Schizosaccharomyces pombe: one gene and its partners. The protein of the gene in region 4 binds, or shares a complex with, the protein of the main gene of each other region. Each region holds a gene or a part of one and is shown on either strand. Other genes may lie near its edges. The genes, in order: mrpl22, mrpl15, img2 and mrpl27.

What was found.
Region 1: mrpl27 (region 4) and mrpl22 share a complex: the UniProt entries of both Schizosaccharomyces pombe proteins name them as parts of the mitochondrial large ribosomal subunit.
Region 2: mrpl27 (region 4) and mrpl15 share a complex: the UniProt entries of both Schizosaccharomyces pombe proteins name them as parts of the mitochondrial large ribosomal subunit.
Region 3: mrpl27 (region 4) and img2 share a complex: the UniProt entries of both Schizosaccharomyces pombe proteins name them as parts of the mitochondrial large ribosomal subunit.

Annotation. Positions count from the first base shown.
Region 1 is NC_003421.2:2,022,794-2,030,820, forward strand, and holds mrpl22 (mitochondrial 54S ribosomal protein uL22m), read right to left. Parts: upstream 6,342-8,027; 5' UTR 6,238-6,341; coding exon 5,488-6,237; 3' UTR 5,381-5,487; downstream 1-5,380. Other genes in the region: SPOM_SPCC1739.01 (zf-CCCH type zinc finger protein), read left to right, coding at 2,786-2,906, 3,015-4,537; helicase Hrr1, read left to right, coding at 6,862-8,027. UniProt on the Schizosaccharomyces pombe protein: Component of the mitochondrial ribosome (mitoribosome), a dedicated translation machinery responsible for the synthesis of mitochondrial genome-encoded proteins, including at least some of the essential transmembrane subunits of the mitochondrial respiratory chain.
Region 2 is NC_003423.3:4,360,511-4,368,800, forward strand, and holds mrpl15 (mitochondrial 54S ribosomal protein mL57), read right to left. Parts: upstream 3,282-8,290; 5' UTR 3,173-3,281; coding exon 2,540-3,172; 3' UTR 2,372-2,539; downstream 1-2,371. Other genes in the region: SIN component scaffold protein Sid4, read left to right, coding at 130-244, 465-2,332; SPOM_SPBC1539.02 (uncharacterized protein), read left to right, coding at 3,506-4,666; arg41 (argininosuccinate lyase), read right to left, coding at 4,875-6,257; tts1 (tetra-spanning protein 1), read left to right, coding at 7,879-7,938, 8,125-8,290. UniProt on the Schizosaccharomyces pombe protein: Component of the mitochondrial ribosome (mitoribosome), a dedicated translation machinery responsible for the synthesis of mitochondrial genome-encoded proteins, including at least some of the essential transmembrane subunits of the mitochondrial respiratory chain.
Region 3 is NC_003424.3:584,777-593,161, reverse strand, and holds img2 (mitochondrial 54S ribosomal protein mL49), read right to left. Parts: upstream 2,096-8,385; coding exon 1,916-2,095; exon of another isoform or gene 1,745-1,915; coding exon 1,607-1,744; 3' UTR 1,010-1,606; downstream 1-1,009. Other genes in the region: SPOM_SPAC3H8.04 (chromosome segregation protein), read right to left, coding at 1-419; csr102 (sec14 cytosolic factor family phosphatidylinositol transporter), read right to left, coding at 2,903-4,237; pdc202 (pyruvate decarboxylase), read right to left, coding at 5,850-7,565. UniProt on the Schizosaccharomyces pombe protein: Component of the mitochondrial ribosome (mitoribosome), a dedicated translation machinery responsible for the synthesis of mitochondrial genome-encoded proteins, including at least some of the essential transmembrane subunits of the mitochondrial respiratory chain.
Region 4 is NC_003424.3:1,429,924-1,437,771, forward strand, and holds mrpl27 (mitochondrial ribosomal protein subunit L27), read right to left. Parts: upstream 3,476-7,848; 5' UTR 3,453-3,475; coding exon 3,276-3,452; exon of another isoform or gene 3,231-3,275; coding exon 3,126-3,230; 3' UTR 2,850-3,125; downstream 1-2,849. Other genes in the region: SPOM_SPAC3A12.06C (sodium/calcium exchanger), read right to left, coding at 501-2,732; DNA-directed RNA polymerase II complex subunit Rpb11, read left to right, coding at 4,030-4,079, 4,125-4,214, 4,261-4,492; SPOM_SPAC3A12.08 (uncharacterized protein), read left to right, coding at 5,216-5,860; ure4 (urease accessory protein UreD), read right to left, coding at 6,667-7,539. UniProt on the Schizosaccharomyces pombe protein: Component of the mitochondrial ribosome (mitoribosome), a dedicated translation machinery responsible for the synthesis of mitochondrial genome-encoded proteins, including at least some of the essential transmembrane subunits of the mitochondrial respiratory chain.

The DNA of each region.
Region 1 (8,027 bases), on a different chromosome or scaffold from region 4:
CTTTAATAATTTGAATATGTTTAACTAGATAATAATTGTACAAGGCAAACAACCCATATAGCATTATATACTAAGTTAGGAGAACTCGCCGTAGTCTTACTGCATCGTTCAAATGGTTTACAAAACTTGGTAGGTAGCACGTAGTACGTATAGTTTACCGAACAATTGCTAGAGACATAGTTTGCTATTGATACAGCCTACTAACTAAAGCAAAAGACATGGTAAAAAAAAAAATTGTGCAAGTTAAACGAGTCTGGGTTTGGCGTTGGTAAATAAAAATAAGGACTCTTCCGAAATTGCTTCAAGAATCTGACCGTAATCTTTAACATAAAAATTAGTTAAAGACCGAGTAATGTGGAGAGGCGAGCTCCGACCGTGTGCAAGTTATCTGGTGTTAAATATCGGAAGGCTAACAGCATACGATATTTTTTGTACCGAATTAGGCATCGTCATCCTATCCGTACTGAGGCAATATAGTAATTTTGAAAGATGCAAGGAAAGATGTGCCAGATCAATTCATGTTTTGAGTTTTGAGTTTTAACAATTTCATAGGAATAGATTAGGACAAAAGCAAAAAGATGGAAAAAAGCCGGTTGGAAACCGAAAAAAAGCAGATGGAGTTAGCAGTGCTAGGGTATACAAAGATTATATCGTATACAGTAAGCCAACACTTACTAATTGAAATTCATTCATTGAATAATTGATTGATTACTTTCTTTAATGATTTATTTTTCAATTTGTTTCTTCCTCCCTTCACTTAAATTGGAGCGGTAGTAATTGAGCCATTAAACAATTCGATAGTACTATAACTATGATACATTACAAATGCTAGTGAAGAAGTTTGACTTTTACTAGAAGCAATTTGTTAGCGGCTACTATGATAGTTTTTTCATTATCCTTTTTCATTTTTTGCATGGCTTATTGCGCTTTCCTGTTCCCCTGTTAATTTGCCATCCCGTTTATGATGAGAAAATACATGCAAGTGTGTAGCAGTGCAATTTCCCGCAATTACACAAATGGTCGCATTAATCGGATACTGCAAAATGGAAATTTGAATTGTTTATTGGGATCGCTTTTTGTTTCAACTTGTTTGTTTCATCAGCGATGTGGTGATTGAACAACTAAAGCGTCAAGCAAATGCGCCATTTCTTCTTTTCTTTGCAGCATAGCGCATCCCGATAATTCCCTATTTCGAAATCAAAATATATAATTTTTGTGATACAATGCGAATTTCCACTCTCATCTGTGTACTCGTTCACTCTAGCAATACTGTTTTACACTCATCTCGGCGCAAATCGCATCTCTATCTTGTCGCCTCCGCGGGTGAAAAGCCTGTTACCTGGAGGCCGTAGCTGTTACCTGTGATCTCGCTTGTTGAGGTGTTTGATTTCTTTGTCTGATATGACATCAAATTTGGGATGCGATACGTGCCTGGCCCTTAAGTATGGGCGTATGAGGAGTTGAATGGCGACAAGCTTCGACGAAATTAGATGAACATTTTCTATGCATTAGGGGTTATGTTTTTACATGGAATTGTAGATTACAATTTTAATTGTTAAATAAAAGATTGAATGATTTATGTTTTGAAGGGCCACTTTGCAGCTATCAACAAGATGTGAATGCTACATGTTGCGAATCAACCTACCGTCAGCCAACTACATTACTCACCGTTCACTGAAAAAAGAAAGGATTTAAGGTGGTTTAAGAGCGCTGGAAGGTGTAGCTGAAAGCTCAATTCGACTATAAATTGAGGATAGTCGGTGAACGAGGTTTATCGGCTTTACTCTTGCAGTTTGGAAAATCGCTATCTTCAGTTGGTTGAAAAAAGGAGTTTAGTTGCGCAATTTCTTCCTAAAGTTTCCTCTTTTCACACTAAGGTTTTGTCTTCTTATTGCTTTTAAGTGAACCCAGCTGGTTTTTGCACCTTGGGGATCCTGTCTTCTTTATTCTCACTTACTCGACGTCCCTAACTTTAAACAATCCCCCTCCCTCCTTCTTTCCTTACCCTTTATCTCCTATCGTTCGACTGTGTGGGTAGGTGCATGCATTGTTAACCTGTTGTTGCTTTTCCTTCTCTCTCGTCATCTATTCTTTTATTTTACTTACCCGGTTTTTTCTGCTGTTACTAAAAAAGAAACCCAAAAATTTCCCGTTTTACTCCCATCTACATTTTTTTTGTTTATTTCGTTTCCCTCTCTCCTCCCTCAAAACTAGTGCATCGATTTCCATTAGCACGCATCTGTGATTGTTGACTATCTGTGTATCTTCTTGCTGATTTATTATTCTTAAGCTAAGACAATCTTTTAATTTTCTTTAAAAATTTCCATCCCCCATTTCTCTCCTCTTTGTTTTTTTAAAACTTTCTACTAATTTGATCCCATTTACTCTACTAATTTATCTTTTCATCTTCTCCATTTTGTTAATCTTTACTTTTCAGTGACGGATCCCTGTTTTCTCTTTTTCAAGTACGAACGTGCCTCGTCTACCTGAATTCCTCCTTTAATTTTCTTTTTTGGTAAATATCCCAATAACAAAAAAGAACACTAGTAATTCAAATACTGCTATTTTCGTGAAGAGTGGTTCTTTTGATTTTTTTTGTTACTTTTTTGCTCTTAATTACTTGAATTGCTTTTTTTTTGTTTATTGTCTTTTTCTTCTTGCAAGGATTCATTTTGAAACACCCACTTTTCTGTGTGTCTGAGGCAAATAAAGTGTAATCCCCAAAATACTCAAGCGATAGTTTCTACTCTTTAATTGCATTTTGTACTAAAATTAACTTGTCTCAATGTCTGCTGCATCATCCGCAATTCCCAAACGAAGCGATCCTCGTTTACTTGACCAAAAAAAATCCGCGAAATCAACGTTGCCCAAAAATACTCCAGAAAACGGTGTTAGCACTGTAAAAAGTATGTTTTTCCAAAATTTGTTAACTTAAACTTATGTTATGCGCATATATATATGTATATATGTAACATTTTTTTTTTATTTTTACATAATTTCTAACTTTGATTTAGACTTACAACATGTTCCTTGTAAGTTCTTCCGAAATGGAACTTGTACCGCAGGCGAAAACTGCCCTTTTAGCCATTCTCTAGAAACAGAACGACCAATTTGTAAATACTTCTTGAAAGGGAATTGCAAATTTGGTCCTAAATGTGCTTTATCACACGCCCTTCCTGGCAACACAAATTTACCTAATGGAACTTCTACAAATACTATGGCCTCAATGGCTGCTAATGGTGGAGCAAGCTCTGTTGCGTCAAAACAAATGGGTGCTAATCAGATTTCCCCTTCGCTGTCCTCGAAAACGATGAAAAATCCGGCAGATAAGGCTAACAACACAACCGCTACAGATGTTAGAGGTAATACTGCCACATCCCCCTATTTCCCATTTTCGAGATCTCCTGGCAGGCATAGCGGCAATTCCACTATTAATGGTATGATGACAACGCCAAACTTTTTGTCTTCTGGAGTAAACAGTCGCTCTGTGGATGAGTTTAATAATAGCTCTTCTGGATTTCCCTCTAGTTTGAATGGAATTCCCATTGCTTCTCCTCCATTGGCAACATCACCAACGTCTTTCAGTCTTGCGTCTAGTGCTTCGTCTACCAATCTTGGCGGAAGTAAGGGGTTGTTGTTTCAGCAGATGACGAGTGAGAATAATAGAGATTACTTTTCTCGTCGTCCTACTCTACTGAATACATATGGTAATAGGTGTTCTTCCACTGATACGTTGTCTTCCTTATCTAGATTAACAAGCCAAGACCCATTAAAAGCATCTCTACCATTACAAAGCCCGCCTCTTGCTCCCAAAACCGGTGTTTCTTTATCCCGTCCTCGACTTACACTCGATCAATCACTTGGCAACTTATCACTTGGCTCGGGAATAAATCAACGACGACAGGTACCTCGTAGTAATTCCTATGCTGGCGCATTTCCTTCAGTGGTTAGTGCTAGCTTGCCCACTAAAGTAGATTTGAATCATCAAATGGACGTTAGTGATGAGGAGCAGCGCTTTTTAAGTACGCCTTTAGGAAGCTTTGATGAAAGCATTTTGGGCTCATCACCTATCAATCGATTAAGTTCAAGCTTTAAGCAGTACACTTCTTCCTTGAAAAGTCCTGGTTTAAGTACTCGGACCAGCTCTACTATGAATTCGTTAAACAGTAGTAGGTTCGGCGCATACTTCTCCAAGTCTCGTTATGTTGAAGGTTCGGGTTCAATGTCTACCACGCCCTTAGCCACTAGTGTCAATAACTCTTATAAGTTACCTTCAGGTTTTAGTGTTCGTGAAGAGGCCGTCTTCAGCTCGCCAACCACTGAAGGTTCAAGACCTGTGAGTCTTGCTCGATTGAAGAGCGAGCCTATTTTTAGAAGTGATACAGCATCTCCGGAAACCATCGCTGGTCTTGGTGATACAAAAAATGATCCTGTCGTGAGTACCAATAATAGCGTATCACGTATAACCGTTGCTAATAGTTCTCCTCCGTGGAATAGTACGGTGGAAGAAGAGACGCCATTCCAAATGGATGATTAAAATGAATGCCGTCGAAAAATTTACAAAAAGCTTGAAATGTTTTATTAAATTATGCATTATTATTGATAGTTATCATATTTTTTATTTTCTCTGTGCTTATCGCATGTTTTCAATATGTTTTTAAATTGGGGTTAGCAACATATGACCCTGCAAAACGTCTTGTTTAAATATGCGAAATTTTTTTTTCTATTTCCAAACATTCTTAAATGAAAACACTGATTTTCTCTAAATTAATTTTTACCCACAGTTTAAAAAAAAAAACTCATTGTTGTGGTTCAAGTTAATATAGTTGATACATTTACTATCTCAACTTATTTTTTCATTATGGCCCATTAAAAAGAATTACTGTCTATTTGATGCGGTTTGTTTCCTTTTTTTTCCTACTGATCATTTGCTACTGCAAATGAGTTAAAATGCGGATCCAGCGTACCTTTACACCTAATAATTGGGGAATTAATGATATTTTATACTCGGTTTGCTTGATTGTTTAAAAGTGTCTGATGAATTTAGAACCAATAAATATGTGTCAAAATGGTGAAGAGATATGGATAGCTTCAACATATGGTCCAAAGCACGTTTTGAAAAGTCAAAAAAAGAAGCTCGTTGCAATGCTTCAAACCAAATTTGAAAAATGTTAATGAGGCAAACGATTGCATGAATGATTTAATAAGATTAGACAGTTTAAAAAGAATTGCGTTCTTTACGAAAACGTATCATTGAACTAAAAGTGATGTATGTACAGGTTGGTTAGTTTACCTTTTTACAGTACTATTTTTCTACTGATACCATCAGCACCATAGAGGTAAATACAAAATTATGGCGTTGCTAAAGAAATAAATAATAAGGGAAACCATATTCTCATAAAAAAAAAACGGCACTAGAATTACTATAAACGATATTGGGGGGAAATATTATTAGAGTATCAAAGATATGGGCATCTCAATAATGACTTAGCAAGTGAAAAAGTTAGATTTTAGGTATATTGGTCGGTTAGGCAGAGGCGTCCAAACTTTCTTTCTTTCTAGTCTTTGTTGACGACGCTGTAAATCGCGCAAGAGAGCTCGCTCATCTCTTAAAACAACAGTAACTCGAACCCGTGGAGATCTCTCAATGGCACGACCTCCACGGCCCATAGTGATAAGTTTCTTTAAATACTTTGCCTTTCCAACCCATATTTGATCAACGTAGAGAGTACTCTCATCAAGACCAGCTTCACGAACAGCGTTTTCTCGAGCAGAAACCAAAGCAGTTGCGATGTACTTGGAAATTTTTTTATCTGACATTTTCATTTGAAGTAAAGCATGATAAAATGGCTTATGGGCAATTTGACGACACAAAGCGCCGACTTTCTTTAAAGAGGAGCGAAGCACCATTGATTGTAAGGTGTAGGAAGGATCCATGGTCTCCTGTTTTTTGAAAGAAATACGTGACCTTGGTCTCTCTTTTACACGCTCTTCCTTTTGCTGACGATTAGAATCGTCCTTCTGGTTAGCAAGCATTGAGAAAATGTCGGACCCTTTTTGCGAACCCAAATTTGCAGGATTTTGTGCAGACTCCCTTAAGTAGGATCCATTTGAAAATTCTCTAACAAAAGAAAGTAATGGAAATTTGTAATGGTACGTTTTAGAATTCAATCCTATCGTGGACGATGGAACTAAAAAGCCCTTTGATATTTTCATAAATTGATTAATGTATTTCATAATTAAATCTTAAAAATTTTTTCCCAAATATTCCTTCCACACATAGAAGTCAACGTTTTCGACTAATTTGAGCAAATGCGCTTTCTCAATGTTGTAACAAAACCAGGTAAATATTACATGCCAAGGTGGTACTAATAGGAATTGCAACCTAACGAATTGCTAACTGTACTATGTTATAGGTCAGTTAGCATTTCCCTCCTTATACAGTTATAAAAATCTTAAATGAGAGAGCTCACTATCACTATGCAAGCTACTCAGTTTGTAAATCTATTTCAAGGATGGATAAACTACGATAAGGTAACTTTACAACGATGTTAACACATGCTTACATGCTTTATGCTGGCACACTAAGCTGCACATTGCGGGTATTATCTGAACGCGTTAAATGCATGGTCACGTAAAGACAGAAAACGGCCCTTGGCAGTAAACAAACAACCCATTTGTATGTTAGACAAATAATATTAGAGACAGGTGCAGAGACTGTACATGAATTGTTATTTATGATATCTTTTAGCTTCTTTGGGGAGGACGAGATTAATATTACGACCTAGTGGGCGCGTACTGAGATATTTTAGTACAATAACCTTTTGAAATTTTTTGGATATTATCCTTTTCTTTTTTATTATGGAACAAGTACAAGATGAAATTTGGAAGTTAAGTACGCTGGACGCCTGGGAAATGGTGAACAAAAATACAGAAGTTGTGTTTGATGAAATCCCCGAGCCAGAAACTTTAAGTGAAATGAAAAGACACCCATTGTATAGCAACATCTTTAACGCCGATAATAATACTACGAGTTTCACAGAACAAATCGAGACTTCTGAAACCTCCAAAACCCAAGACTCGGAGGGGAACAAAGTTGATAAAAATTTAAAAGAAAACAAGTCAATACGTCGTAAGAGAAGCATTGACAACGATTATGAATTGAGTAATGTAAAGAGAAATGATATAACATCGGGAAAAAATAGAGAATTCGAAAACGAACACCATCCCGCAAGCGATACTTCTTCTTGGCGGGAACTACCATCAATTCCAACGTTGGAAGAATTGACGTCAAAGAGTGTTGAATTACCTTCAAACAACATATACGGAGGATACAAGTCCTTTGAAGATTACTTATCTATACACTATCGGTTGCTACGTGAGGACGCAGTTTCCCCATTACGAGAAAGTGTGCTTCGGTACAAGGTAAACCCCAATTACATTACCGGCTCTTCGTTAGCCGTATATGATCATGTGCGGATAGATGGCTATACAATATCTTCCAGTGTTATAGCTGCAAAATTATCCTTCAGTGTTCGCGCTAAGAAAAAAATAAAATGGGCTACCAGTCGTCGTCTTATCAGTGGATCTTTAGTTTTATTAAGCAATGATGATTTCCAGACTTTTCGCATTGGAACTGTCTGTGCGCGGCCCTTGAGTGGCCTTAATAAACATCCTCATGAAATAGATGTCAAATTTGAAGATATTAGTATCTCTTTAGATCCTCGAGAAGAATATGTTATGATCGAAGCTACTTCAGGCTATTGGGAAGCTTACAAGCATGTTCTTCGTTCATTACAGAGGCTTTCTGCTAGCACATTCCCGATGAAGGATTACTTGGTACACTGTAAAAGTAATCAGGAGACTGCTAAACACATACAAAATAATCCTAGGATACGCATAAATTCTATCTTAAAAAATAACTCTCAAAAAATCGTAAATGCTCTTGAGCCGTTCGGTCCTGGCGAGTATATACTAGACTCGTCACAGTTAAAAGCTTACCAGTCCATGCTGACTAAGAGACTCTC
Region 2 (8,290 bases), on a different chromosome or scaffold from region 4:
ATTAGTTAACAACTTTTTGTTATTATCTGGTGTTTATTTACATTTCGAGCATGTGACTTACACTCTTGGGTAACAATATTAGTTTTAAGTCAGCTACTCACAAACTAAACCTTTTAATCATGTTTTAGAATGGATGAGGCTTTTGGTGATAGTTTGAGTACAGATTACCGATGGTTAGGTCATTCTCATTTTGATAGTCATCCATCTGCGGGTGACAGTATATACTTTGACTCCCTTGACGAAGGTAGGTAAAGTTTAATGTCAACTTGTATTGTGAACTTTTGAAAACACTGGGTAATTACACTCATGCCGTCTTCTTCCATCTGTAGATGAACTAAATGTTTTCTATTTTAAGAGGGAAATTGGTTTATGACATACATTTTGGCTTGAAGGGTATTCACCTGTAACGTCCATATACTTTTTCGAAAAGTCTGTCAACTGAAAATGTAACTAATATTATGTAGATGCAGATCCGTCTCGTACCGCTAGAATTGATCGAATAGCTGAATTGTTGGATGGACTTAACGATGAACAAATAAGTGAGCTTGTTAATGGCGTAAATAGTACTACGATTAAAGAAAACACCAAAAAAGAAATTTCGAACCCCAATGACTCTACAAGACTTCCTTTAGAGCAAATACCAGGTTCAAACAACTTATTTCTGGATCCGCGTCATCAACTTGGTGATAATAGTCAAAATGCTCAAAGACATCATGAGCCTTCGTTTAACTCGGAGAAAGCATCTTATACTAGTACACCTTACAAGAATGTCGCCCCGAAAGTGATTGATTCACCTAGTGCTCGTCATATGCACTCCAATTCACCTTCATTTCCACCTTCTCAATCACACACCAGCTCTTATGACCAAAGTCCAAAAGGACAGCTACGAGATAATATTAGTGTTCCTAATCAACAAGATGGATTGGACCCTGAAGTGTTTAATCAGCAATCTAAAGAGACTAAAAAAAGTTTACAGGTTCCACCAAGCCGTAACGTACCACCCCCAGTCACTCGCCCTAATCAATATAATCCTGAGCCTAATTTTTCTTTGAGTTCAGGTTATCCACAACAACATTTCTCACAGCCGGAGCTTCAAAATCGGAATGTTCATTTGGAAACTGTACCAGAGTCATATCCAGTACCGCCTTCTGGCTATCCTCTTACTTCATCTACATGTGTTTCTTCTATTAGTCAACCTATCCAATCTACGGATTGTCAAAAGGCTCAGGAAAATCTTTCTAATAATAAACAGATGTCGTCGAATGATCAAGACATCGATCCTTTTAAACAAGCCATTACCGATTTACCTCCTTCTTTTGTTAATATTGTTTTGGAGATGAATGCCACAATACAATCCTTATCAAATCAATGCCAACAAAGAGATAAACAGATTGAAAATATAACCAAGCAATTGCTTATGAATCAGCAGGATTATTGTCCCACAACAATGTCAACAACTGTTTCTACTCCACTTTGTCCTCCAAAACGATTCCCTAAAAGCACAAAAGACTTTAAAGAGCAAAAACCTGATACGAAGCAGGTACGATCTGCTACTATTAGCAATGATTTTAACCTTAAAGGCAACGGAAGGTATAATGAAAAATCTCAAATTGCGGTTCCAAGTGAAATACGAGTTCAGCTATCAACACTTGATGCTATTCTTTTGCAATTTGAGCACTTGCGTAAGGAACTTACCCAAGCCCGTAAAGAGATACAAATTCTTCGGCATACTTCTCAAAATGGAGATCAAGAATCAAATGAAAGCTCAAAAAATGCAATAACCACAAAGACTACTGACAAAGGAAATAATAAGGAGAATACTATGCTGAATGACGGGTCTACAGCCCCTGCAAAAAATGATATAAGAAATGTTATTAATACCAATAATCTTGATGCAAAATTGTCAGATGAAAGTGAGTTAATGATCGAAAAGAACAAAAGCTACTCAACACCTGCTTCATCTACCATCCCTACTTTCCATACCTCACAGCCTCTTACTTCCTTAAATATGCCTGATTCTAGATTTAATCTGGCTAAGGAAAAACAACTTTATTATCGGCTAGGCCTTCAGCATATAGATCAACAGTGTAGTGTTGAAACAGCCAACATGTTGAAAACAGTTTTGGTCCAATTAAATATCCCTTTTGCAATTTTTCCTTCTACCATCGGACAAGTCAGACGCCAGCTGCAACAAGGTCGTAGACTCTACCAATGGGCACGAAATATCCATTATCTAATATACGAGGAGAATATGCGTGACGGTTTGGTTTCAAAACAGTGTTTAGCAGATATGCTGAAAAAGATAAGGGAGCTTAAAAAACGTAGTTTGTGAATGGATGCCAATGACTTACAACTCGATCAATAAGATTTTGGGATGCAGCTTATATTATACAAATGTTGATAAATATGAAATATATTATTAACTACTGACTGAATGAAAGAGGCGTTAAATAAATCGATAGTAATAATAAGCGTATGGCAAAATGTACTATATTATGGCATCCTTTGCATAAAGAATTTTATCCTGCTGCTACACATCTTATTGATTATGCACGGTATTAGGTCTCACGAAATCTTTTGTCAAATCTGATATGATGCTTTTCTTACAAAAATTCATAGCCTCAACTCCGCCTTTTTGGAAGTAAACGACAGCAACAAGTCCGGAAACAATACTACTGTATATCTTTTCAAAACTAGACGAAGATGGAGAATTAGGCCCTTTTAATGGCAAAATACATTGTGTGGCAGTTTCAGGATTCCATTTTTTTGCAACTTCAGCGAGTCGAGCAGGGGAACGAAGATTTACTAAATCCTTGTATGAAGGTATTGTGCTAAAGTTTCCTGATTCCAAATAATGATTAAGTAAGCAAACATCGATAACTGCATTTCCAACCGAAACGAAAGGTTCATTATATCTTTTCAGCCCATGTTTATAAGATTTATGAGTTACAATTTGTTCTCTTAGAGATTTGTCTGAGATGTAATTTTTTTCACCAAAAACACGACTGAAAAAGCTGTCAATGTCTTCTTCTGTAGATGTCATTTCATATCTGTACTTATTTTCATTACACGCAATTTTCCCAATTCGACGGACACAATTCCATGATGATGATCTGAACACAAATTTATTTTCAATTTGAAGTCCTAAACGATTACAATGTCTTGTTAACATACGGATGGCATAAAATCTTAGAAAGAGCTTCAAGTTCCTCAAACCCTTGTATGGAAAATCAACTTTTCGAAAGAAAAGATATCTGTTTTCTGCAACTAGAATATAGGTTGTTTTTAAAAAACATTGGCCGATTACGAAGTAGTAAAATAGCGCACTACGCTTGAGATCACAGTGTACGAACGTCAAGGTATGCTAATGTTATCAAACTGTTTCAATAATTTACAATTTATTTTGTGTTTTACTGTTAAGTGTATATAAACAACTACTACAAAGTTATTCCAAAGAAACAATTAATTGAAAGGATACTGAAGTTTTGGTTGAAAATTTGTCACAATGAACCAAGATGATTTCAGAAAGCTTTTAGCTACTCCAAAAGCCGAAACCTCCCAGTTAAAAAATTTCTCATCGAATAAAAGTCAGCGACTTGTTTTTGGTCGTAAACATAAGACGGCCAAATTGGAAGCACCCAGAGCCCTAATTAAAAGAAAACAACTAAGTCATTCTACATCGTCAGACATTACGAGACATTCTAATGCAAAAAATTCAGGGAAAGATACTCAATTTTATGAAGAGCCTTCTTCCAAACAGGATATTGAGTTGCACAAATTGCACGAGAAACTTCGCAATGGCCAAATTACGACAAAAGAATATTCAGAAAAATCTAAAGAATTAGGCGGAGATTTGAATACAACTCATCTCGTGCGTGGTCTTGATCGAAAATTGCTTGAAAAAGTTCGCTCTAATGAGCTAGCCTTGGATGATTCTCTGCTTTCTTCGAGTGAGAAAGAAGTTGACGAAGAAGCAGACAAGCTTTTAGAGAAAGTTGCTGAGGAGTCATCACATCCTGAATCTGTTTCTATTCTAGAAGAAAAAAAGAAGATACCTCTTTATCCTAATGGACAACCGAAATATCGTAAAATTTTGGAAAATGGAAAAAAAGTTAAATATTTGCTTGATGAAAATGGTGAAATCCTAAAACGGCTTGTGAAGAAGGAAAAAAAGTTAAAAAATGATAATGAACGTTTAGAAAATGAACATAGAACCGAGAAATTAAACGTGAACGCTAATAGCTTAGGGAAAAGCTTTGTTAAGCATGATATACCACTTCCACCAGTTGATTTGAAGCTCGATATTTTCGAGGAGGTTGGAGAATATGATCCTTTTCATGAAAATGATAAAGAGCCTGCTGAGTTGAAGGCGAAGGATGCTTTTCAGCTTAAAGGTCATCATGAATTGGATGCGCCTTATCATAAGAAAGTCTTTGATACAAATCAATATAGCGATCTTAAACCTACGAATTTTATGTCTCAAATTCATCGACTTGCCAAAGTTCAGGAACGCAAAGAAGAAGAAGAGCGAAAGAAAGGAAAAGACGGACAAATTGTTGATGCAGGTTTCGGGCTTGTATTATCAAAAGACGATACAGCAGATATTCACGAGTTAGGGGAATCTGACGATGATGATAATGTTAAAAGGAGAAAGACGAAAGGTTAAAAGTACTACTTCATTCAGTATGAATATTTACGATTTAAGATTTAAGTTACGTGTTTTTAAAATATTATTATGAGGCTACAATTATTTATTTGCCCGTTTTACACCAAAAAACCTCGATTCGGGGAATTATGTTGAGGAAGCCCTGTTAAATGATCAAACGAACATATAGAAAAAGTAAGTATATCCATATCATTTCATGTAAACTTATCTACTCCAAGGCCTTTTTAATGGTTTGGATTTGTTCTAATACACAACTCTTAGCGGTACCACCAATCGCACAACGCTTCTCCACACTGGATTCATAGTTGAAAACATCTGCAACATCTTCTTCATATAATGGGTGTAGCGATTTAAAATCTTCAACACTTAGCTTATCAATGGTAGTGTTTCTTTCCTCGGCCATTCGGACAGCGGACCCGGAAATATGATGAGTTTCACGAAAGGGAACACCTTTACGCACAAGGTATTCTGCCAAATCAGTCGCTAGCATGTCCGCAGTCAAGCTCTTAGCAATATTTTCTGGATTTACAGTTAAAGTAGAAAGAACTCCGGTTAGAATTTGAATGGAATCCAAAACAGTTTTGGAAGAATCGAAAAGCGGTTCTTTATCTTCTTGGAGGTCTTTGTTATATGTTGAAGGAATCCCTTTAACCGAAACCATAAAGCCCATCATGTTGCCAAAAACTCGGCCAGACTTTCCACGAAGAAGTTCTAAAGAATCGGGATTTTTTTTTTGAGGCATAATACTACTTCCAGTTGAATAAGCATCGGAAAGGGTAACGAAGTTGAACTCAGAAGTAGAATATATAATAAGATCCTCTGCCAAACGGGAAATATGGGTCATTACCATACTAGCCCAGAACATAAATTCAATAACATAATCGCGGTCAGCTACAGCATTCATTGAATTCATAATAACCCCTTCAAAACCAAGTTCCTTTTGTAAGAACTTACGATCTACGGCGAAAGGATTACCAGCAAGTGCACCAGCGCCTAAAGGGAGTCGGTTGACTCTAGAATAAATTTGTTTCAAGCGATCCAAGTCATTTAATATAGAAAAGGCATGAGACAATAAGAAATGGGACCAGCGAATAGGCTGGGCTCTTTGCAAATGAGTGTAACCGGGCATAATGATATCAAGGTCAGACTCTGCACGAGCAACAAAAACTTGGAGTAACCCAACTAAAGATTTTTGGATGATGTCCAACTCATCACGTAGCCAAAGGCGCATATCGGTCGTAACTTGATCGTTGCGACTTCTTCCTGTATGAAGCTTACCAGCAATGCCTGTACCAATTATTTCTCCCAATCTGCGCTCGTTAGCAGTATGGATATCTTCGTCAGAAGGTTGAAGAGTGAATTTATTTGTCTTCCATTCATCTCGGACAGCCTCTAAACCATCTAACATTTTATCCAATTCATCAGCACTAATGATTCCGCGTTGTTCTAATGCCTTAGCATAAGCTTTCGAGCCATCAATGTCGGCATTGAACATGCGCTTGTCATAATGAATAGACTCATTATAAGCTGTCATCAAGGGATCAGTGGCGCCAGTAAATCTACCGCCCCAAAGTTTTTGTGAAGAAGCCATTCAGAATTGTTAAAACAGAGTCAGTTTTTCAAGTTTTCAACCAACGCAAAAAGGAGGTAGTACTACTTAAAATTTAATTTATCTAATCTTTTGAGAGTATGGCTATATGACCGTGTAACCTCTTCCTTATCGCAACCTATTGTTATATCACATTAACGATACGGCGATAGATATGAAATTGATATTATAATCGCTATAATAAGATCTAACGTATTGGAACGTATAAACACTTAATAAATGTTTACATTCCGCTTCGTTATTTCTTTCCTTAAGTTTACAAAAGATATCATATATGGAAGCTTTGGTTGGAATCTTACTGTATAAATGTACTCAACCTGAATGATTTGTTTTGTCTTTCTGATTTATTAACTCAGAGCTACCAAAGAATTTCGCGAGCATTAGCTTAGATTTAAGAAAATTGACTGTTATAAAGATTGAGAATTCTTAAAAGATTTTCTTGTTAGTTGTGATTGTTTTTTCGATTTTTATTAGAACGATATTTATAGATGCCTGAAAACTCATTGGTAGATAAGTATTGTTTTCTCGTTTTTACTAGTGTCTGATCAGACTAAACTGGTTTAAACATTATGATGCATCTTCCGCCCAATTTCTTTTAAGATAGCTAACGAAAATCAATTAAAATAAACATGGACCAACCGAGTTTATGAATCCACCAAATATAGTGGGATTATAAAGAAGAAGAAAATCAACGAAGAATAAAGTGATAACAGTACATGATTTTCCTTTTCCCTCTTTACTTTCGTCTCTTACTGCCTTAAATTATACACTGCATTTCAAATTGTCAACTATATTATTGATTTCTTTTGGCATGAACACATATAGGGCGTATTACTTCGACAGTCTAACATTTACTTATACCAAGCTTCTCAAAATTCGTTTATAGTACTCGTCTTCGCCAACAAATAACTTAACAATTTACGTATGGATATGTTGTTAACAGAACGTCTGGACTCAAAACGGAATCCACAAAGTGTTATCTTCGAGAATACTCTAGAGCCAGTTTAGATCTTGCTAGTTATTTTTAAATAGAAGTTATTGAAGGTTGCCGAGCAATACAAGTGTGATATAGTAATGTTGAATCTGAACCATTTATTGTCCACTAGTAAATGTGCAAGAATTAATCCATTTATTGTTTCCATGTAAAACATAGAACAGATAGCGTAACAAACAACATCGTACTTTAGCATTTCACTTTGAAAAATTTTAGTCAGAGCTTCTTGTACATTGTTATCAAGGGTCGTAAATGAATTATGTTAGCTTTCTGGAGTGTCTGCTAGACTTAAACAATTGGATTTTAGAAAACTAAAGAGTGTAGCCCCTATTTAAATCTATTTAATTGTAATAGCTTGAATGCTACTCAAAGGCGTAAATCCTTTTTTAAGCGCTTATATTCCTGCTAAAAGAATTCTAGTCAAAACGTGTACTAGCGTATTTCACAGAAGTTCCATAGGTTTTCTTTTTCTGATGTAGGAAAATTTAGGATCTTCCATTGGTAAGCGTACATTGTACTCTATCACAACTATTACAACATACTTTTTGCTGGATATTAACTTAACAAAAGCCACATCTTTAAAACTTTGAAAATAACAACTTTGCTATAATGGAGCCAAAACAACGAGTTGTCAAGCCTTTAAAAGAAAGGGTTTTACCTGTTGTCAAGGTAAATATATCTATCATGTGTAAATCAGATAATAAATGTTGATTATAAGAAAAGTTTCTTATTTAGTTCCATAACGTAACTGTAATCTATTACTAAAACATAGACTAATTTGTCAGCATTATTTTATTTTGATTCAGTGTCATATTGTCTTCACTCTTTTAATACATTACTAACCGTTTATTATAGAACACCCAGTTTGTTTGGTTTTCGGGGCAAGTAATAGTGCTAATCTCTTCCGTCTTGTATGCTCTTCAAGCAATCCCTTTTCGTTCCGCTCCTCCATTTTTGTTTAAAAGCGCTGCCTTTGGTGCCATCGTTGCATATGCAATTGTCCTTTACAAAACTTATAGTC
Region 3 (8,385 bases), 840 kb from region 4:
ATAAAACCACTCCTTTGAAAGCAGTTCTTCAATGAATAGGTATTTATACCTTTGGCGTTAAGAGAATGTTCAGCAGAAGCATCAATTGGTTGTTGTTGAGTTATATAATCACCAGACAATAATTTATTACAACGACATGAACATCTCGTGAACAGATGAGGCCCATTTGAAGGTTTAACAGATTTCTCATTGTTAAAAATTTCGAATTTCAATGGAGAATTACAGAGAAAGTGGTTGTTCGCCTTACTATTACCAGGAAAGTTTGAAAAAAAGTCTTTCATCTGACTTATCGATTTCAAATTCATCCATTCTTGTTCGATTGGAAAACTCCTGCTAGTAGAGAACAAGTTTCGAATATTTTTGTATAGCAATTCATTATTTTCAAGAGACGTTGATGTCGCACAATAACAAGCTGGCATTAATAAAAAAGAAAAAGAAAAGGAATAAAAGGCTTTCGATAATCGAATACAAATGAATGCGGTTTGTTCGCATTCAAGGAAAGTAAGGTATTAATGTCAAGAAAAAACAAAACAAAAAATTCAACACGGAAATAAAGTGCCTTATATCGTGTCAATGCTTAACCACTTTTTGATAAACGAAAAAAAAATAACAAAAAAAACAGAAAATCATTAAATCATGGATAACCGTAAGTATTTTTCGAGAAAGCCTCAGTTCACTAAAGAAAATATAATTCCCAACATTAAGAGTTATTCAGCTTATAATCACCAATAAAAAAGGGATAAACTACAAGGAATTTTCTTCTCGTGAATAATTAATTCATAAGCAAATTGTAAATCAACGTCTTCAGAACAAAGCAAAAATTTTAAAAGCTAAAAATGTTTGTCAAAATATTCCTATCACAGACAAATCCAAGTTCAATTCAAAAATAATGAAAAAGTCGTTGAGATTTCAGGATTATAAGTATGTGTGAAGGGAAAGGTAAAGAACAGTCCATGGGCGTATGACGCAGATATATAGATTATGTTTGAAGGTATGTTTTCGATATAGCATTTAATATTTGTCAATTTACAAACTATACAATATTGAGAAAAGAATTTTTAATTTAGTTATATACCCTAATAGCCTTAAACGTATTCTGTCTATAACTACAGTCAAAAAATAAAAACACCGGAGTTTCGATATATATATTATAATTTCCTTTAAGCGTTTATAAATTCAACAAAACAAACGAATAGGTAGCAAAAAAAAGATTGTATTTAGCATTTGGACGCCTCACATTAAGCAGATGTTTGAATTTCTTTTTACGCAAGTACCTCTTGAATGTTTCTACTGAAGCTCGAATAACTATTTATTTAAAGGTAGTTAAGGAAAACCATCACAAAAGATGCATTTTTTCCATTGTCAAGTTTGAAAACCACGTATGATGAGAAGAAATGAATCGAGATTAATTATTTGCAACAGCTGTGTTTTATTTGACATTATCACCGCTGTAACAAGGAGATGAAGTAAAAGTAATATGCTAAAAAGCCAAATTGATATATATGCTCGAGAGTTTTATGTTGATAAAAAGCAACTTTATCATTCCTTTGAAAGAAGGATACGTACATACATAGTAACAATCTAAAAAAGGAAAAATTCTAGGAACTTAAAAACCTTGGTCTTGTAACCATTCACGAACTGTGACTATGTGATTTCCCTTTAGGACAACTTGATTTGTTAACTTGTTTACATAAACATCTTTCGGTGACATTTTAAGTGTGGAAATGAGCCTGAGCCGCAAAGCCTATTGATAAAATATTGTTAGAAAAAAAAAAGAGAACGAATAAAAGAAGTTAAAATAAACTTGGGTTGGCCGTTAAAGCAAAAAGTTGATAGAACAATTTCCGCAGCATAGTGACTTTACTTGTACTTTCTTTAGCCAAGAGATTACTGCTGACGGAATATGTATACTTACATTAGAATCACCATGGATTTTACGAATTAAAGTCAGAATTTTCGTTCCTCGTTGTTTGTAGTCTAGATAGACTGGGAGATTTTTTGAAGGTGTACGTGAAACATGAAACCGAAGTGATTCGGATGCAATTGTTGAGTTGAACCTCAAATTTGATAGCACTGGCTTTAAGGATGATCGCATTTGGTTCAACAAAACTTTCTACGAGTTGCAGGAATTTATGGTGGATGTGTAAAAGAAGTCGTCGTGCATTCGCGAATAAAGAGGATTTCTATCATAACCTCCAAAAATTTGTAAGTTTTAAACAACTGTCAAACAGGAGCCTAAGATTAAGTGATTCACTAAGAACAATTAAAATAAAATAAAACGCTCTTGTTTTAAATAAATTTAATCGGTGCTTGAACCTCACGCGTGTTTAAACTCGAAAGTATTTTTACGGCACGGAATATACTTCAGCGAAGGTGCATACTCATTAAATTAATACTATATTTTGGAGTAGGCATTTAGGTGTTCAGCTTGTTGTTTTTTTTAATTTCGAACCGCTTTCCTACAATAAAATAAAAAATAATAATAAATAGCAAGAAATCTAAGTTAATTTGCAAATAAAACTGATCATTGATTCTAATAAAGACAAAATGGATGGATAAGTATTGCGACCAACAACTTCAATGAAAAGCCATAAGACCTAAAAAAAGTTATCCCTTTCTAGATGATTTTAAGTGCATTAAAGAGAGTGCTAAAAAATTAAAGCGATAAGGAAATGGTAAAACGAAAAGGGGTGTAAAAATCAACGTAGGAAAGAGATTTCATATGTAACTAATTGATATAAAAGATCTTGAAAGTTATGCATTAATAGATGATACAATCATATTTTGAGCCAGCATCTTATTTAGAATAACACGGGAAAGTACAATTAGTCAGTATACGGGAGTATAGGCAAGGGGAAGGATTACAATGTAAAATAGCAGGAATATTGAAAGTTACGACCGACTAAGTTGCCGAGCTAGTAACTTCTACCATTGATTCTTTGACATCTCCATTTGTAGGTTGAGAAAGAAGCAAAGTATGGGAAGTTTGAGGAGCAATTAGGCCCATGCGGTCGTAAACTGAGCGTGCGCGGATGTATTTATCCAAGTTCCAGTATGCATCAATAAGTTGTGAAGCTAACTTACGACGTTTTTGTTTCACTTCTGCCATGTCACCATTGTTCAAAATCCAATCCATTGTAACTTCCTCGTACTGTTTAGCAATTGCATCCTTTTTTGCTCTAAGACTCTTACGAGCTTCAACATTCTTCAGAGCTTCTGCTTCGTTTTGACAGGGTTCTGGATATGTATATCTCCATGGATTAGGCCCACCGAATTCTTTTAAAATATTGTCAGGATTTATATATTGTTGCAAATCACGATAATTACGAGTGAATTTAACCTTTGAGACAACCACTGGATCAAGCCAAGATTTGATGATGGACCAAACGCCTTGGAAAAGCCAAGGCGCTTTGTGTACAATACATTCACCCAGACATTCGGGATAGTGTGCTTCAAAACACTTGATCATGAATTTCAATGGCCCATAGTCCATATTGGACATACTGAAATCAGTCATATCAAAAACAACAGTAGCAGTTTCAATAGGAGGTTTGAGAATTAAACGAGCAGTTTCCATGACCCAAACTGTGAGTCGCTCAACCGATTCGGGTGAGACATCACCAACTTTATGAAGACGTGCGCGAATATAACAAACTGGACGATTGTGTTTATCTTCACCGAATATAAAACACTTTCCGATTCTTAGTTGACGCACAAAATCATCATCTTTATCAAGGTGGTCAGCGTTACATACAATTTCACCAACATTCATCTCTCTACTTCTCCAGTGAACGGTTTTCATGAACATTTCCAACGCAGCCTCAACGTTCCATTTTCGAGCACGAAGGAAACGAAGTAGAAGGCCATCAGGATCATCACAATTAACAGCATCCCAAAAGCAAACTCTAAGCCCTTCCGGGTCCCATTCACTTGCAATTTTTTCAACTCTTTCCAAATGCACATTTTTGGTTTTATCATTAAAACTGCGAGTGTCCGAGCCATGAGATGAAGACGTTAGTTCAAGTCGTGTACGGGATTTCGCATATGAGACGCTGCTTAAACGATGTGATGAGGAACTACTTGAATCATCAGATAAGTGTGTCTTCACTGTGTACCAAGATTCAGTTCTTTCGAGTAAAGTAATGCCGAAGAGCTTAAACAAATAACTCCACATAGTCTTCAACTTCTCTTCTTCAAGTTCTGTGAGATTCCACGGTCTACCGGCTCCTTCAGGCATATTTAATAAGTAAATTGCGCGCAAACAAATATAATCTAGAAAAAGTCCAAGGAAAAAATATATCAGATGAAATCAATATTAATAAAATTGAACTCAATTGAGAAGGAAATTACGAGAATAAGCCTAAAGAATGGAGGTTAATCTCGAAGATATATAATAATTTGAAAAATTGGCAAAGATAGACAAAAGAATGTGACGAGTCAAAAATACACTAGCCGTCAATTTGCTTCCTTTTGGTCAGAGATGCGAAACAAGCTCACTGAAAAACAAAACGTAATGCTTGTAGTAGAAAACAAAATAATATAGGGAACTTAGTTAACCGAATGAATGAATAAAAAAGAAGAATCACTCGACAAAAACTGAGTTGGTATTTTAAAAAAAAAGATAAAAAATTCCTCAGAGGACTATAAGTGGGCCTGAGAAAAAGCGTGAAATAATAACAAAGGGAGAGGAGCTCAATAATTTCTAATTCACCTTAATGTATATCAAAGTGATATATTAATGAATATGCAACGCACAGAAGGAAATGGATTTTTTTATGAAAGCAAAACGTAATAAAATAAAAAGTCACCTACAACTTTTTAAACGGATTTAGATTAATTACCTATTGGAGGCACAAAACGCGTCACAAAAATTAATGCAAAGACAAAGCCGTTCAAAAAGCAAAGAAAAGAAAACAGAGCTTTGAGAACATTCACGCGTTTAACACTTTTGAGAAATGACGGGGAAATTTTTAGGATGCTAAAAAGCGGAATTTTAAGACTTCCTGGTTTAATTACTTTAGCCAAAGAAGTGATCTAAGCTTTATAATTATTAGTAGTCGGTATTTTAGGAATCACTAGTATGCCGAAATTACGAAACTAACCGATCAACACAGCCTCTTCCTATACTTACACAATTCTTGGAATTAGTAGCAAGAATTAAAAGAAAAAGCCAACGAATATTAACCAAAATATATTTTTTCAAGGTACCAAACGCCACGAAATGCAGCTTACCTTCCTATGCGAAAGAATAGAGCGCTGAAGTATGGTGTGGTGTAGAGTGTCAAAGTCAGAAGCTGCGTTGCAGAACCATTTATAAACAACAACGCAAACCGTTCGTCCGTTGCTGTGATAGAGTGATACATAATATCAGTCAATTGCCTTTACCCGCTACATTACCTAGGAAATCGTAATAAACGAGCGTTATAATTTCATTACGTTACAAAACCACTGTATTAAATAGTAGAATCACCCAATTTTTGTAAAACTAATAAATTCTTAGCATATCACAATGTGAATGGAACGGTAGCTCCTATGTAAGAAATAAGAATGTTAAAGTTGGCTTTTAAGCAGTTTAGCAATTTTTCTGCGAAACTAGTAAGTAGATGCAAGGAAACTGGTTTCCACATTGTTTGGATTAACTCTACCTTTTCATTCATTGCTTCCAAGGTATTGTTTGTTTACGTACACCCTAACTTGACTTGAAAAATTTTAAACTAAAAAGTTGCTTTAAACATAAATTTAATAACTAATCATTATACTAAAAGACTATATGAATTGAATGGGCTTATCATAAAAAACATATAAATCAAAGGAAACTTTGTTTGCCAATTCCACTCTCAATAGCTTGCTCATTGCTTATTGATCTTAGACGTCAACTTGGCTTGCTCAACTAGGACACGAGGTGCATCCAACATAGGCATTACAAGCTCAACTACTTGAATGACATCTGCATTTGCAAACTCCTTGTCGCTAAACAACTTTTCAACGTCAGTAGGAGTTTTAACACAGTAAGTGCGGAAGTGGTTTTCAGCAGCTCCGAAAAACTTGGGAATCTGTTGGTAGCCCCATTTAGTGTTAATTTCGTTATAGCTAGCATGCAAACCATGAATTAAACGCTCAATGGTGTAACCGTCGTTGTTAATTATGAAAATAATTGGTTTGAGGTTATGGCGAATGCAGGTTGAAATCTCTGTAATCGTCAGTTGTAAGGATCCATCACCTACTACAAGAATGGTACGACGATCGGGCTCTTTAGAATCGTGGACGGCCAAAACAGCACCAAACATTGCACCAACGGAGTATCCAATAGATCCCCATAATACCTGGGAAATGGCTGTTACATCCTTTGGAAACCTGCAATCAAGGACACCAAAGTTTGCAGTTCCAGTCTCGGTGATCAAAACATCTCGGGGCTTCAAAAATTCACTAAATTTAGGCCAAAACCAGCAATGAGTAATCTCGTTGGAAGAATATCCTTCCGCATGCTTAGGCTTGATGTTGTAGCCAATGGTAGGAGCAGCCTTGGAATGACACATAGAAGCATCAAGTACTTTCAACAGTTTGCGAAGAATATACTTCATGGCTACATTTGGATAAAGAGCATATCGAATGCGCATGTGGTCTGAATGAAACTCAACGGCATTCTTTTGGCTGAGGTGGTAAGAGAAGGAACCCGTGTTAAAGTCTGATTTGAGAGCACCGATGGATAGCAACAGATCAGTGGATTCAATTCTGTCTTTAACTTCAGGATCTGAAATTGAACCAACATAAACGCCGTCAAAAAATTGCGAAGTTTCGTCAATTGCAGATTTACCCATGGGAGTTACATATGTAGGGAAATGGGTCAATTTAATCAGCTCATGTACTTCTGGAACGACACGATGTCTTACAGCACAAGCGTCAATTAAAATCACTGGTTTCTTTGCATTGACAACCATTTCCGAGATATGATTGATGACTTCTTGCTCAACTGCTGGATCGTTAGTATCCTCCTCGAGCTTTAGTCTTTTCCCAAGATTTGATGAAGATGCTTTGAAGTAGCCAGCATCAGAAGGAATACCAATGTAAACAGGCCTAGCCTTTTTATAACAAATCGACAAGGCTTCATCGATCTTTTCAGCTGCATCGTTTCCGTTATCGATCATTATACTGTAGGCAGAAACTTTCTTAAACATATCCATGAAAGTGCGAAAGTCTCCATCTCCTAAAGTATGATGAAGCAAAGCTCCAGTATCTTGCACCTTTGTGGAAGGCATTCCAACAATATGAACTACTGGGACATGCTCCGCATAAGAACCTGCCACTCCATTAATAGCGGAAAGCTCTCCCACGCCGAACGTTGTAACAATGGCTGAAAGACCATTAACACGAGCATAACCATCAGCGGCATAAGCACCATTCAACTCATTGGTATTGCCAACCCAACGAAATTTCTCATCTCCAACTTTCTCAATTAAGTCAAGTAGAGCTAAATTGAAATCTCCTGGAACACCAAGAATGGACTTGACCCCTAATTGTTCAAGCCTTTTGAATAGATATTCACCGACTAAAATATCCCCACTCATGTTTGATAATGCAATTTAATGTGCTTGTGAAATATACTCAACAAATTACAATGCTGAGTGTGTATTCCTTTTTCGCAAGATAATTATCTGTTGAATAACCAGCAGATACTTTCTGAACTTAAAGGAACAAGTGAGTTTGCTAGCTAAAAGTTAAAAAGATATAACCTTAGATGCTTCAGAGCAGGGTTACTCTGGCTATATAAGCAACATTCCGTCATCAATGATACATTGAGTTAATGTGGATTATTCTTTTTGAAACTCTTGGTACGAAACCACTCGTCAGAGGCTATTTCATTATTCGACTCAAATCTCACTATGTGCCACCCGGGAAAACGTCAACTATGCAATTTGCAATTATTGATTTAAGGCATCGTCAGCAGTTTATACTGGACGATTCTTCGGTTAGTGTAAGCAACTGCAGAAATTATTATGAAAACTCTACATCACCGAACGTTCCGTCTCGAAATTCTTAATTGTATCTATACCAAAGACAAAATTGATACCTTTTACATTATGTCTAAACTGAATTTAATGACTATTCCTTATTTCAAGCTTATTAATTTACATGCTTTATTGGTTTGTACCATGTTTGTTTGGATACTTAACATTGAGAGCTGAATGTGAAATATTGTTTCGTCCGTAAAAGTAAGGCGTACCTCATGGTTACGAGACCATGTGACCACTCAAAAATAGAATCCTCATTATTATAAAGTATCCAAAAGTCTTTGAACATATTGCTGTAATTATGATTTCACATGAATATTAACGACATTTTTCAACCGAGTTCACGATTTGCCTGACATCTAGCAATATCGATTTC
Region 4 (7,848 bases):
ATGATTCTTGCATAGATAAATTATACGAATTTGGAATATCACTGTAGATGGCAGCACACACGCAGTCTATCCAAAGAGGCTCGTTTAACGAAGCCTTAGGTGTTTCGCTATACTTTTTGTTATAAAGCTTTATACGATATAGTAAATACAAAATTAGCTTTTTCAAACAATGAAATGGGCTTATAAATAAAAACTACTTCTTGATTGTTAAGTCAATTCCTTCTAAACCGAGTGAAAATTAAAAAGAGGTGAATTGTAAGCATTTAATAGAAGACGAATGCTAAACTAAAAAAAAGTAGTAATGCTCCAAAAGTAATCAACTCAAATAAATTTGGGACAGAATGGATAAACGAATTAAATAAAATGCATTCCAAACATAAGAAATAAAATTGACGAAAAAGAGGGGATAATTTTGAAGTTCCGGGTTAAGCATGATCTTCCATAAGTGAATTAGTGAAACTTGTCTTGGTCATTAGGAGAAATAATAAACGTAAATCAGCTCATTTGTCTTTAAGTAGCTCAACCACTATGTTAGTAGAAGTCCCAACAATATATAATATGAAAAGTAAAAGTCCTAAAACTCGATTAACTCGAAACCTGTTTAATGGAACATAGATCAACAACAGCAACAAACAAGCAAGTAAAAAATAAGCAGTAATCGACAAGGAATGAGGTATTTCAATGACACTGTCATTTCCGTGGTTGGAGATACTTGAATAGAAGCTTGAAATGCCAATACCGATTAAAATATTCAGAGTTGGACCTCCAAATACACCACCCATTGCCATTTCGGGAAAACCAGAACGAGCGATCATAATATCCGCAATGAGGTCACTTAAACTATTACCAGCAGCGAAAACAGTGAGTCCAAGTATAGATTCGTTCAAGTTGAAAATGACACCGAGGGCTCGTAAAATACCTACGACTTCATTCGCAATAGTCGATATCCATATTATACCTAATACGAATCCAATGAAGCTTACCCACGGCAGAAATTTTGGAGGTTTCTCTTCATCCGTATAATAATACAAAGCTGTGATGCACAAAATAGAAAACACAGAAGATGCAGCATAAATATATAAACGATTCCCGCCTGTGATGGAAAAGGTCACAAAGGCAAAAGGAACGAACACACATTGTAGTAAGCGAAGTTTACGGGACCATGTTGGTTTTGATGGATTACAGTTAGATACATCCATATGATAAATGGGATCAACTGCCAATCGCGGGCATTGATATACAGGCAATGCTAACGTAAATATTAAAACAGATGGAACAGCTAAGACGTCCATTAACTTCTCATACCATGATTTTTTGGCAAAATTTCGCAAAGTAGGGAAAAGCAAAGAACTAAGTGATGGCGAGGGTAATGGAAAGTCTTCGTCAGTGTGAGTTGGGTGACGAAAGATTTCAGAAACAAGGGATTGCACGCTATTATTGGCGCTAAATCCCAAATTGGGATAATTAATTCCACTCACAGGGGTGTTAATTCCACTGGGATAAAAATCGCTTTGAGAATGGCGAATATGCATAGGATGCATAGTAAGATCACCGTCTTGAATATTCAATGGATCAAGTGAGCGTAATCCCGGATGTTGTTCCTCATTCGAAGATCTAAAGTCGAGAGCAGCAAGCAACGAAGGACGCACAATGGGGCCCGATGACTGACTTAGCACACGGTTAGAATGAGTGTTGTTTTTGTGAATAAAATCATGGACATGGGAATGTTGATATGAGGAATACGAATTTGAAGGGTCATTATCGTTAATGTAATGTATTTTTTGGGTCTTTCTAGATGCTTGGGCAGGCAAGAGAAATGCCTCTTCGGATAATTCAGAATCCGTGCTACTATAGGAATCCGAGTCATCGAAAGAATTTAAAACCGGTGAGTAGACTGGAAGGGAGACAGGCAAATAATTCTCATCAGTGATTACCACGCTAACACCAGAGCTACCAGAGAAAAAGACGAAAAGAACGTAGAGTAGATAATAAAGTATCATTACGAGACTCTGCCAAATACTCAACGAACCATCATGCAAAACAAACATTATAACAAGTAAAATAGTACCGGTAAGGAAAGCAACATCCCGAAGGAAGTGACGCCGAGGTATTTTAAATGGCTTTATTAAACATACGCTGCCAGCAACTATGGCTACGATGAAGAATGCAGAGCCCAAAAGTTCCCCAATAGCCATTCCCCCACTGTTGACACGTACAGCAGCGAACGTACTAAGAATATCAGGAGATCCATTGCCTAAAGCAAGAAAAGTAACGCCAACCACAGAATCGGGCAATTGAAGTAGCCACGAAATAGTAACCAAATTGGTACTAAAAAAATCACTAGCAGAAATTCCGATAGTTATGAAAAGGAAAATCAGCCATCCCACAATTATTGATAACACTGGGAATCGGAGACTGTTAATGGTACAAAAATAAAATTCAACGTAATCAAAGAACCCACTAGCCTCTCCCTTACAGTAAGCCTTTGCAAACCGACATTGATTAGCAGGGGTAATGTTTTTGATATCATTGCATGTAAGTAAAATTTGGTCGTTGCTATCATTTAAGGTATTTCCGCGCTCAAAAAGATGGACGGTTGAGTCCGAAGTCGAGGATACTGAAGCAAACGCTTTGCTAATCCGATGAGTCCAGAATAAAATGTAGGCAATGCCAAGGATACACCAAAGTAATATTAGTCTGTATTTCTTCAAGAAACATGAAGTTTTCGACATTTTTATACCTGATATCCAAGATATAGAAAATCCATGCTTAAACCGCATTGCTAGGTATTAGCAGCCCTTTTTTTTCTAAGATAGATGGGATGAAAAAGACTAATCCTATAATAAATATATAAATGCGCAGTACTCAAGATTGCCCCCAATTTTGGCAGAAAAAGTAAGAATGTAACTAGTATATTTAATAGAAGCAAACGTCACAACAGAATATCGATAAATATACGTGTCCGTAAACAATAAATAACAACAGTCAACGCAACATAAGGTATCGTAACGTAGAAATTTCTCCTTTCAAAGTGTATGCCCAATCATTAACAGATAGAATAAAGCAACAGTTGAAAAGGGTACCAAAATTTTTCAAAACAATAAAGAATGAGGCTGATAAACATACTAGCTATGAGCAAGATCAAAATACACAGCTCCATCCAACCCATTTGCACCTTCAGGATAAGTTCCTTTAGTGGCTTGAATTCGACGAGAAACAAAAGGCAAAAGCTTTGAAAGTTAATATAAAACAATATTCATTAATTTACAACATACCTCACAATCACCAGAAGGAGGCACAAACGTGCGAACACGCGACCACTGGACAAGAAAACCTCCATGCCTGGTTTTTTGACCCATTTTCCCAGTTCTTGTACCCTTGTAATACTGATGACCCAACTTTGTGGTCATTGGCAAGCGTCTTGCTCCAAAACATAATAATGATTGATGCATTTTGAATAACTCTCGATTTGGGTAAATGGAGGGTTTAAGTTGGCGCGTTTTCCGTCATAAAAGAAAAGGTAACGGTATAAGGTAACAGTCAAAGCGAAACATAGAATGTAAACAATAAAAATATTTGTTTAAAACGAACAAACGAATTACATTATGAAACTAAAAAATGAAATAAGTACGAAAAACTATTTTTTTTTCAACATTTAAATGAGCTTTCTTGTTGTTTATCTTTCTGCACAGTTCAATGAAAACAAGTACGGTTAATCTACAATTAAACGCCTCAAAATATGCCTTTAAAAATTTTAGTTATTAAAATCAGTTATTAAAAAATACTGTTACATCTCCCATTTCATTACTCGTTTGAGCCGATTTCCAACAGATAAATATATATTAAGTGTCCGTTCACGTTCGCGTTATTTATAACGAAATACGATGAGTTGTGGAATAAAGTGTTAAAGCTTTTGTTAAATGGCATTACGATTTATAGTGATGCTTAATGTACAGAACGTGGACAAAACCCTCGTAAGCATCAACATCTTACTTCTTCTTCAGCTAGTCGGCTGAAAACGTTGGCATAATGAATCAGCCAGAACGGTATGAGCTCATTGAGCTTATGGGACTCCCCAAGTAAGGAATAAACAATTTTACAAGGAATTGCATTAACCAGTGTAGAGTCACATATGAGCTCGATAGCAAATCACCTAATGCCGCAGTAGTTACTCTTGAAAAAGAGGATCATACATTGGCTAATATGCTTGCAAAGTAAGACTTCTAAATTTTTTTTTCTTTTCTAACTGCTTTTTCGAAGTCAACTCCTATCTGACGAAAGGGTTCTTTTTGCTGGTTACAAAGTTCCTCATCCATTAAATCACAATTTCATACTTCGTGTACAAACCGTAGAAGATTGTTCTCCAAAGCAGGTTATTGTTGATGCTGCTAAGTCCCTTATTACTCATCTGGAAGAAATCAAAGTTAATTTTATGCGTGAATGGGAGTTGAAAATGATATCTGTTGAAGGCGTTGAAATGGAGTTTTCCTAAAATCCACGGCTGCTTTTTCTCTAATATTTATTAGAGTTTTGTTTCAAAAAATACAGAATACCCTCTGTATGCATCTTTATTACAAAAATTTTGACTTTCGTTTTCGCAACTTCTGTAATTTGGACCGAAGTCGTATTAAAAGGGAAAATAAAAGTTTCTTTCTTTTTTGAAAACAGATGCTTTAAAAAAGGTGAAAGTTCTCCGATCTTTTATTGTATATGCTTCTTCATAAACCAACTAGAAAACTGCAGCAATGGCGATGAAAGTTTTTCTAGGTACCTGGATTATTCTCTGATATTGCTTTTTTTTTCAAAGTTGAATTTTGCTGAATGTAATCGAAGTGATTAATTTCCTACAGTAGGGCAGAGCATCGATTCTTACATTCAATCTTAAAAGAAATAAATTAATTAATGTTGTACTATTACAATTTATGTCATTGAATTATTCACAATCATCATTTTCTCTCCAAATGCTTTGCTTCAATTGCATTACGAAATTTGTTTATTCCTGTATTAGTTATTATTATAGAATACTTTTTGGATATGTAAGTAATTATATTTTCTTAAAATATACGATAAATATTCTTGCATAAATTAATGATACCCTATGCTTTGCACATATGCTCCATCTGCGTATCAGTTTTATAACGTCCGAATATCGCTAATAGTAAACGCTCCTATTACATTGTGACGAAAAGTTTGAAACTTTGTTCAATTTTTGATTATGAGCTCTAAATTATTTCAAAATAAGCTGTTATTAGCAGGGATTGGGGGATTTATGGTAGGCGGTCTAGCTTCTTGGGTTGTTTCCAGTGATGCCTATACAGCATATCATCGACTACCAGCAAGTGCGAAACATATTTCTGAAATTTCGAAATCGCCTGAAGCTGTTCAAATGATTGATAACATTTATCGCGAACGTCAACGCAGCATGAAAATGGAGGAGCATCCGTCCTTGCTTCAATCTAAGTATCCTTCCAATTTTCTTTCCTTTAAAGATGGATTGATACCTGTATTTAAAACATTTTATGACCCCGAACATGAAGAATGGATCAGCATTGGACTCATGGGTAAGGCTTTGACAGGATATCAGAAACTGGCTCATGGGGGCGCCATTGCAACTTTATTGATCGAGTCTCTTGAGACTGTTCGGAATCTTAGATCATCGCAAGCAAATTCACAATCAACACAGCCTCGGGACCCTATTCCTACTGAAAACTTCGATGTGCGTACTCCCAGTTATAGCATAAACTACAAAAAGCCTGTGCCTGCTGGAGACTGGGTAATCGTTCGAGTTAAAGACGATGTTGCACGATTATACAATTCTAAAAGTCAGCTGTTAGCTGAAGCTTTGGATTTACAATCGTAGTCATTGTTAAATGCCATTTATGATATTAAAACTGCAAACCTTAACCTTCTAATGATCATACGAAAACAATGATATTTTGTTACTTGGATTTGTTGTGATTACAATTCCAAAAATGCTTTTACTTAACGTGACTGCATTAACAGATTAAACCAGAGACAAAGGTCTCTTTTATGAAATAGATACAATCTCTTTGAGATCTATGTCTCAAGTGCTATATCCAATTAGTTAGTTATCTACTGTGTACTAAATAGTAAATTTTCTATAACAGTTAGTAATTGAACGTCAAGTCCTAGCCAAGAGAAGCATGTTTTGAGTCGTTCCATATAGCATAAAACTTTTATTTGCTTGGAATAAAAGTATAAGTACAGTAACCAAGACATTGAAACAAGATTTGGCAATCGCAATTAATATTTTTCAATTGATCCACAGAAAAATTAAGGATTAAAAATAAGCAATTACCGGATACATTCTCAATTTACACTTTAGGCAAATATTCCTCTTCGAGTATTAACCACGTTTTTGTAAATCGAGACTTTGGCAACAGGTTATTGTATTCGAAACATAACTGATTCCATAATTAAGTAATTTTTCAAAAAACGCAGAAGCTTTGATGGAATTAAGGGAGTAGAAAAAAAAAACGATTCGAGATTTCTGTAAAAGATTTCAATTACTGGAACATCCTACTCGTAAAACCGAAATTTAAAAAAATTAAAAGCGTGCTTCAATTATATCCCAAATAATTATAAAATATGGACCCTATTAAATTGGTTTTTCTTTTTTTTTTAAAGAAATACGAGTTCACATGTTCAGTACCAAAAAGCGCGAAGAGTTTCATGATCTAGAAAGCTTGCGTAGTCCGAAAATAATTTCAGAAGAAAATTTCGTGCAGTTTCAGTGTTGTAAGCAGCGAATTTAATTATTGTAACCGACCGAATTTCACAAGCAGTCCAGATAATCTTCTTCATTTGAGATGAATCCGTTGTTTTTGATATCCTCTTCTCCTTGTTCCTATATTGGTTCAAAACTGCTTCTTTAGTTTTAAGAAATTTTGGTCCTATAAGATACAAATTGCCTATACATTCAAAGTGATGCATTCGTTCGGCTTTTAAACCAATATGTAGGTTAGGCTCATCGAATATTTTTAACACATCTCTCAAAAGCGTTTTTCTCTGGTTTGAAGCTGGAATCTTCATCTGGATACAATTTTTGGACACATAAGATCGCATACTCCATTGTTCATTGATATGGCTTCGACCATGTAATGTCCAATCCAGTAATGCAAGAGAAGAAGTTTCGTCTTCTAATACAAAGTTTTGAGTCTGAATGTAATTACTATCTCCAAAAGGTTGCACTGGATCTTGTAATAACAAGCACAATGCATTCGTTCCAACTTCTACATCCAACTTTTGCTGTGTTGCAGGCTTTCCTGGTATTTGTTTATATAATTTTGTATTTCCTTGACTCTGTATGCACAATGTAGCATTTTTTCCAACTATAATATCCAGCGCTACACGATCCCCTGATACCAGGCCACCTCCATAGCTCATGATGTACAGAATAGAAAAATCAAGTTTTGTTTTAGGAGCGATAAGTTTTAATGGATATTTACAAAACATATCTGTTACATAATGTACATTTTCAATGCATTCCACTCGAAATCGTCCTTCTTTATCTTCCATATTAAAAGCAGGTAGTATCTGGATAATACAGTGGAATATGTGAAACCATAATTACCGTTGTTTCGGAATTTTGGTTAAGTTAAAAAGTATGAAAAGATATAATATTTGGTTTTTGTAGTTTATGAGCTCATAATGCATTTGGCAATGCATGTTCAATTACAGTGTTTTCATATTCGAACATTGATATTTTGTAGTGTGCTTTACAGTTCAATTCAAATGTTGGAATACCCTATGAATAAATAGCTTCATCATTCATTAAATCAATATCACTGAGGAACATTTATACTTCGGAGTTGAGTTTAATCATGG